2 linked regions of the Oryzias latipes genome follow. The main gene of each other region encodes a partner of the protein of the gene in region 2 in a complex. Links are inferred from orthologs where the notes say so. Each region holds a gene or a part of one and is shown on either strand. Other genes may lie near its edges. The genes, in order: bmf and ribosomal protein S6 kinase alpha-3.

Region 1 (4,277 bases), on a different chromosome or scaffold from region 2:
GCACAGCACAATGCTGACATGTCAAACGTAGAAAGTACTTGTTTGCTGACATTATCTACCAGGAAATCAGTCCTGAGTTTTTACAGTCAGCAGGCTCCTTTTGTTTTTGTTTTTTTCCCTTCTCCTCACCAGTTGTAGGCGTTCCCGGTGAAACTGGTCCCCTATCAGCTGGAGTTTCTGTGCAATGCAGGCCTCCGTGCTGCGTGCCACAGGCTGCTGCCGGGGAAGCCGCTCCATCCCGCGCCGCTCTGCTTCCCTGTCGTGCCGCCTCACCTCAAGATCCCCAGCAAGCTCAAAGCGTGCTGGGAAGTGCAATCGAAAACCTGCGTTACCTGTTGAGTGTCAAAGCTGATACTTAATATCTCGTAAACAACGTGTTCGGTGAAAAAACTAAACTAAACACAGAACTGAAACCTGACAGACCTCTCTTTATGTCAGGTACCAAGATTTTTTTTACTCCAAGTGATGACTAATGTCTCTTTGGATAAACAAGCTGCCCGGCTGACAAACAATTTCCCCAGCTGTGGTTTTATTGCACATAATAGTTTTATAGGTCACTGACACCCAAAAGGGCTTCAGCAGTTAGTTGTTATGGAACTACTCCGGCATGACTGCTCATATATGGCACCAACATAGCTTTGCTGCTACTGATAATGATTTATCTGAGGAGTTGTTGCACTGCTGTCACAGTGCTCACCTGTCCCAAAGCCGGCCTGGCGCCTTCTGAATAGCAAAGCAGCTGGTAACACGCCACAATGGCCATAAAAAACTGAGTTTGATGACGACTCCCAGGCGCCAGGGGAGAGCTCAGGGCTGCAACACTGTTGCGCTTTTATCACATCAAGTGTCACATTATGCCTCTGCGCCGGAGTTTTATAACTGGTTATCACACACCAGGCGATGTTCCCCTTTTTTTGCTTTTGAAAGACGGTGTGTCATCAGCCTCACCGTAGAAAAGTGGTCTGGGCTCCTCTGCAAGTCCACAGAGAAGCATGCCGTTGTTTGGTACCAGGGCAGGACCGGGTGTCTGCGTGCCCCGGTCTTCACACTTTATCTTCCTGGCTGTCGTGCGCCACTTGTTGGGGTCCGGCTCGAACACATCGTCTTCCTCATCGTCCATACGGGGGGGCACTGCAAGACGAGTGACCTTGAAAGCGATATGGCGAATAGAGAATGAGCGCATTTGTGGGCAACACCACAAACCAAGGGCATTCTCTCTAACAAACCTTGAATAAATCTACGTCAGATCTGGAGAGATGACCTCAGACGCATTCATTATCTGCTTCTTTTTTTCTCCTCCGAGGCACTCATTATCATTATAGACAACCTGTCTGGCCTGTATGGAGCGAGCTCCGATCAATGAAACCACGGTGGACGGGGAAATGAAACGACTGCTCTGCTTTCTCTGGAAGTAAAGAGCTCAGCGTTTATTTAAACAAATGAGTCTGTTCAGCTCAGTGAATAAACCACACAATTCACTGCGGTTAGAAGTCAATCAAGCCACAGTAACATAGAAGCTAGCTTGGTTAACTTGGTAAAAGAAAACGTAAAATTATCTTTTTTTCCCTGAATGACTGAGTTCTTATATTATTTCTCTATTTCAATGAAAAACATTAATCCAAAAACTGGGTATACAAAGTACAAAACTAAAGCAATTTCTTAAAGTCACTGATGCCCTGGAGTTCACCCTGAATCCTGGAGTTCACTCCCTGAATCTGTGTCAAGAAGTTATCAAAACATGGGTGAAACTCATGTTTGCCTCAGCAGCAAAACCCAAGTTACCACTGAGTTGTAAATACAGGGTCACACTGGTATCACGCTTCCAAATGAGGGATCACAGCTAAGAGGGAATGACAGTTTCTGAGGAAAGTCCTACCACTCTCCCTGACAGCTTTTGAACTTTTCTTTTAAACTCCACTCAGCTCCTGTCTGCTAAGACTCAAACACGTGGAAGTCTAACTTTATCTTTTTTTTTAAATATAAAAAAATAATAATAATAATAACAGCAAAATACTTTAAATGTATATTTTCTGCTATTTTGACTACAAACATTTTTATGTCATGCAGTGGCTCCCCCTGCTGGTGGGGGCGCATTTTAATACAAAAGTCAATTATAGTGGGCTTGTTTTGGAGCAACAGCTCCACGGTAGATGCATCTTCTATGCCCATAAACATCATGACACCCTCTTCATTCTAACATTAAGCTATCAGTGGCACAAACTTGATAAATATTGCTCTCGTTATCAAAATTTCAATTAAAAAAAACAACAACTAAAAGTTGCCTTATGACAAAAGGTGCAGTTGAGGGCATTTAATTCCGAATCGAAACCTAATAGGGTCACTCACACACACAAACAGAAAAAAAGTAAACCAACCTATTACGTTTGCTGCTACAAACAAAAGTTTAGGGCGGAAATGTCGTCATAAACGGTTATTTGCGTGCTTATATGCCTTTACGGAGTGTTTTCTGTTGAAAAAGGTGACTGTCACACAACAAAGTGCAGACACATGACAGAGACCGGCCGCGCTGACTTCATTGGTGCTGTGTCAGCCGGGAAAGCCGGTGTTTTTCAAATCTTACTGTACGACAGAAGAGCACAGCGAAAGCGCGCGCCGCTTCCAAGCGCCACAAAAAGCTGTGTTGCGTCTTTTTCAAGTAACAACAACAAGTTTCCCTTCAGTTCGTTAAAGCTAATAAAGCGGCTGAACGTTTGGAGGCTGTTCTTACCGAGAAGACTGGCGGCGTTTAAAACACTTGTCCTGCACTCTGGGGTTAAATGTGGCGAAAATTAAACAATAAAATAAAAGAAACTTCTAAAAAAAATAGGACTCCAAGTCTTAAAATCCTGCTAAGTCAAACGACTTTATTCCTCAACGACTACTTCCATTCTGCGAGGAGCGCTGCCACGGTCGGACTGATTTCGCCGACGTCAGCCTGAGATGACTCCGCCAAGTGGGCGGGAGCTGAATTTTAGTAAATAGAGGATGATTTACGTGCGCGCGCGCCAGCCAATGGCTGCCTTTGTTTATATGCCGCCGCTGCCGCGGTGTTTTCAGACACGTGGACGGGAAATTCCCCGGAGCACGAGACCGCTTTCACGCTACTACGCAGCTCATGTGCTAGAAGGCCTGTCTGTCCTCCGCTGCCTTGGTCTCTAACCATAGCAGTGGAGGCATAATGCTTTATTTGCTTGACAAATCTGCCATATATGGTTTAGCTTGATCTTTTTTTTAGCTTCTATTTTATTTTCAACCGAACTGACTATTTAAAACCCGGTGTTTTATTTTTTGAACTACGTTAAACAAATTTAACTCTTTTTTTAAGTCAAACATATTTACATCTTTTAAAGTTTTTTCCACTTTATTTTAGAACAACTTTTTAATTTTTATTTCAAAAACAAGTCTATTTTATAAGAAGACAAGCGTTTCTAGAAAAAAAGTCCCTCCCAACTTATGGGAGAATTGATGTCAAAATACAGATACCCATATATTAGCAATTTGGGTGTTGAGTACTCTATTAATTTATCAATTACTAATTAATACATGAGAAAATAAAAGTGTATCTATCATTTCTAGATTTTGCTTGGTTATTAGGTGAGCGACACCCCCAGCAGACAGCATATTAAGCTGCTCTATCAGTCACGTGACCAGAGGAACCATGAGTTGTGTATCTTCTGCTTTGTTCACACCATCATACAAAAGCAACCTCTTCAACTGAAAGGTCTACATAAACGTGCGTATATGCGCGTTTCGGGCTTCCATGTTCAAAACTAACATTTACACTCAACAATGCAAGATTTTAAGTCTGTTTTTGGGCTGTATCTACAAAATGCCTGGCATTTGAACACATGATGAAAGTTAAACCAGTTGAACTTTGACCAATCAGGGTCAAAGGTATGGCGTCTTTTTTAATTAACAGAGGTCCCACTTGTTTAAAAATTGAACATGGAGGAGAAATTAATCATTGCACTGCTTTAAGTGCATTATTTAAAAAAAGAACAGTTATGTATTTATTTAACCTTGCATATTAAAGTTGTTATCTGGACAGTTTTCAGTGGTATTTGTTTTTAAGATAAAAAATAATATGCTTGGGGGGAAAAAAATCACAAATAAGAAATTACCAGTAATCAATATCAGTAATTGGTATCCAGGCCTGCACAATAAATCCCAAATTTATCGTATTCGCGATATCAAGCTTGATATCGCGAAAACGATAAATTTGATCGCCATCTTTTCCGATATGTATATTGCACGATATGCATATCGGAAAAGACGGC
Region 2 (3,814 bases):
ACCAGTCTTCCTCCAAACCCAAACAGTCCAGTCCTTCTTGGTCCAGTTGAGACGTTTCCTCCGTTGGTCCAGGTTCAGAAGTGTCTTGACCCGAGGACCCCGACAGAAACTCATCTCCCGGATGCGTCTGAATTTTATGGCGGATGGCACACAGCGTTGTAGTCTTCCCCGTATTGAACCAAACTGAACCATTGAATGACGTGTGGGGAATCTGTGCAGGTGTTTCAGGTTTAGTAGGTGATTAGTTGGTAAAACTCAGTTTGAAACATTCATGTCCTTAAAAGTTTGGGCAGATTTCTCCACACTTGTCTGATTCTCGCCAAACAAACACGACAAATCCATCCTCAGGTTTGATGAAGTACGGCCTGATGAATGTTTGTGTTTGATGCAGGTGATGTTCACAGAGGAAGACGTGAAGTTCTACCTGGCAGAGCTCGCTCTGGCTCTGGACCACCTCCACGGCCTCGGCATCATTTACAGAGACCTCAAACCGGAGAAGTAAGCAGACCCACACAGACGCACTCCCCTCATGCAGCATCACAGCTGGTTGTGGCTTCCTGCTTCCAAACCAAGATAGATTAGCAGATCTTTAAAGCTCCTGCTGCTGCTCCCTCAACATTTCTGTCGTTTCAGCATCCTGCTGGACGAGGATGGACACATCAAGCTGACCGGTGCGCATCCTCCTCCCCCCGCGTCTTTTGTCTTGTGCTGCCGTCAGCCGTCTCTCATCCGGTTTTCCCGCTTTCATGTCTGTGCGCTCAGACTTCGGCCTCAGCAAGGAGTCGATAGACCACGAGAACAAGGCCTACTCCTTCTGCGGGACGGTGGAGTACATGGCTCCGGAGGTGGTGAACAGGCGGGGGCACACGCACAGCGCCGACTGGTGGTCCTACGGCGTGCTAATGGTGAGAAGATGCTGCCCCCTGCTGGCTGCTTGCAGACCAAATTGCTGGCGATGTGCTGAAGGGAACAGAGGTCACATCTCCCCAAGTTCAAGAGTTCAAGGTCCCCTTCCTTCCTGGGTGTAATTTACAATCATATAGAAAAAATTCTCCGATGATTTTAGGCTCCAGGTGATGTGAAAATCAGTCCTGGATTTAATGGTTTGCTGCAAATTAGAAACAAACGGATGAAGCGGTTAAACTGAGTCTGAATTGAGACATTTAGGAAACGGTGACGGCGTCCTGTGAGCCTATCAAAGGGAGTTTTTGGTTCAACTGTCAGGAATCTGCACAGAAAGCCTGTGAGATCATGACCAACATGACTCCAAATTCTCATGCCAAACCTTCTCTCTTCCAGTTTGAGATGCTGACGGGAACGCTGCCGTTCCAAGGAAAAGACCGGAAAGAGACGATGACCATGATCCTCAAGTGAGTCGCAGCAAACCCAGGACGAGAGCAGAGTTTGAGTAGAAAACGATCCAGACGGAGGCTCAGAGGAGGTTCCTTTTGTGTTCTTGTGATTCTCCGTTTCTCAGTGAACATCCGGGAAAACGCCCGGATGTTCACTGAGAAACGGAGACGGGGGATCCAGAAGAGGACACAAACACTACTTCAACGTCTAGCCTTTCAGATTCCTTCCCGCTCCACCTCCAGCACGGACGTTCGATGCCGAAGCGTCACGCCGCCGCCGCCTTTCAGCTCACCTCCTCTGTTCTCCGTCTTTGCAGAGCCAAGCTGGGAATGCCACAGTTTCTCAGCTCAGAAGCTCAGAGTCTTCTCAGGAACCTGTTCAAGCGCAACCCTGGAAACAGACTAGGTAACACATCTGTGCGCAAGGCATGCTGGGATGCTTCTTGGAGATGGAACTCCTTTTAAGTCTTTTTGTATCGTACAACCCTCAGTGTATTTTAGATTTGAAAGGAACGAAACTGAAAGACTTAAATGATCCCATTTTATTGACAACAGAACAAAAAATACAAACAGCAGAAAGACAGAAAGGTTTAGCTTGAAAAAGCGTTAACTATAAAGGAGTCTCTCTTCAGCAGATGAATCTCTTAATGCTGTCATGCGAGTCTTTTTAATTAATCGTGACCTGTTGCTTATTAATCTATTCTCAACTACAATTATTTTTAACCCAATAATTGATTTAAAAAGTCTCATATTTAGATATTTTCATATGAATTCATGACATTGTGGTGCAGTTAAAAACCAAATTACAACTAAAAAACTGTCTCACTGAACTTTTTCTAATATAACAGACAACAAGGGGGATTTTTAAAATCTCAAACCGCTAATGTGAAACATAAAAACAGGAGGAACACCAACAAATACTGATAACACATGTTAATTTATGAGAGCGAACACCTCATGAAGGATCTATCCCATCCATGAGAGATAGATTTTGGTGTTGTGTGCTTGTTTGAGGTAGTTTTGTGAAGAACTACAAATTCGCACATTGATGGTGTCATAGCAGAGACACGGCACATGCTTTTCAGAGGCAAAAAGCTCATTACCTCGATTCTCTCGTCTTTAAACAGGTTTGATGGAAGAGAGGTGGTGCACCATTGTAACCATGGTAACCGAGCTGCTGATGGACTATTATCAGATTTCTCAGATTTAACATATTTTATCATAGTCCTTTTATGAATAAAAAAACAATTCACCCTATTTAAGGTTTTAGGTATTTTATTCTACTTGAGCTTACATTTTTCTGAACAAACAATAGAGATTAGTGACGGCGAGATGAAGCCCCATTAAGCTTTGAAGCGATGGAGACGGGATGGACTGTCACTGTGGTTGTGTTGCTTTTGTGACTTCAGGAAAGCAAAACAGGCATTCATTTTTGTTGTAAACAGCAGTTTCTCCTAAATCTCCAAACTATCTGCACTTCTATCCAAACTGTGTCTAAACTCTGACTGACCGTTAGTCGGAATCAAACCCACGGTCACCCAAGGATTCACATCGCTGTCAAAACACAAACTCCCGTGGTACGGCTGGGCGGCGGGGCATTTAAGCTCCTCCCCTAAATGGAGCACGCCTCCTCATGGGCATCGTGGACATGCCCCCCCACCCCCACCCCCCCCGGCAAAGAACTGGAAGCCTGGGAGCGTAAAGACAGACCCGCACAGGAAGGAGCTGGTTTTCATCCGATCCTCTGGTTGTGTTCAGGAGCCGGACCGGATGGCGTGGAGGAGATCAAGAGGCATCACTTCTTCCACACCATCGACTGGAATGTCAGTTCCTCCGTCCAACAGCCTCCCATCCCGCCTCCCTTCCTCTCTCACTAACCGTCTGTCTTCAGAAACTCTTCCGCAGAGAGATCTATCCGCCCTTCAAGCCGGCCGTGGGACGACCCGACGACACTTTCTATTTTGATCCAGAGTTCACAGCTAAGACGCCCAGAGGTAGCCCCCCCTCCCCTGCTCCTCCTGCCCCTCCCTCCCTGCTGAAGCTCCTCCAACAAGTCCTGCTTCACCTCTCTGTGCTCCTCAGACTCTCCAGGGGTCCCTCCGAGTGCGAACGCTCACCAGCTCTTCAGGGGGTTCAGCTTCGTGGCCATCACAGAGGAGGAGACACAGCCGCTGCCTCACGCTATCGTACAGGTACGCGCACGCTCCGTGCACGCTCCACAGAACTGAGCTTCTGCAATGACAGCAGCGGTGACGAGTTCAGCCGTCACAACACCGTCGACAAAATGTTTCACAGATCATGAATTCACATTTAGGGGGCTGCACGCTGGCATAGGGGTTGGTGCTCTCGGGTCCTGGTTCAAATCCCTGCTGGGTTCTTTCTGCGTGGAGTTAGCATGTTCTCCTGGTGCACGCGTGGGTTTTCTCCAGGCACTCCGGCTTCACCGGTTAACTGATAACCCT

What was found.
Region 1: the proteins of ribosomal protein S6 kinase alpha-3 (region 2) and bmf are in contact, whole or in part, in a crystal structure (PDB 8R58), measured with the Homo sapiens proteins. The link is inferred for Oryzias latipes from reciprocal best matches to the Homo sapiens genes RPS6KA3 and BMF. Residues at the interface, in NP_004577.1 of Homo sapiens: Trp252, Phe259, Phe268, Leu281, Ala283, Lys284, Leu285, Gly286, Met287, Pro288, Leu299, Arg300, Phe303, Lys304, Arg305, Asn306, Asn309; in NP_001003940.1 of Homo sapiens: Glu8, Leu10, Glu11, Asp12, Asp13, Val14, Phe15, Gln16, Pro17.

The regions. Positions count from the first base shown.
Region 1 is NC_019880.2:14,506,691-14,510,967, forward strand, and holds the start of bmf (bcl-2-modifying factor), read right to left. Parts: upstream 2,946-4,277; 5' UTR 2,729-2,945; intron 1,406-2,728; 5' UTR 1,227-1,405; intron 1,148-1,226; 5' UTR 1,121-1,147; coding exon 949-1,120; intron 333-948; coding exon 130-332; intron 1-129. UniProt on the Homo sapiens protein: May play a role in apoptosis. Isoform 1 seems to be the main initiator.
Region 2 is NC_019878.2:2,760,097-2,763,910, reverse strand, and holds part of ribosomal protein S6 kinase alpha-3, read left to right. Parts: intron 1-391; coding exon 392-498; intron 499-633; coding exon 634-671; intron 672-762; coding exon 763-905; intron 906-1,299; coding exon 1,300-1,370; intron 1,371-1,669; coding exon 1,670-1,758; intron 1,759-3,110; coding exon 3,111-3,175; intron 3,176-3,243; coding exon 3,244-3,346; intron 3,347-3,434; coding exon 3,435-3,544; intron 3,545-3,814. UniProt on the Homo sapiens protein: Serine/threonine-protein kinase that acts downstream of ERK (MAPK1/ERK2 and MAPK3/ERK1) signaling and mediates mitogenic and stress-induced activation of the transcription factors CREB1, ETV1/ER81 and NR4A1/NUR77, regulates translation through RPS6 and EIF4B phosphorylation, and mediates cellular proliferation, survival, and differentiation by modulating mTOR signaling and repressing pro-apoptotic function of BAD and DAPK1.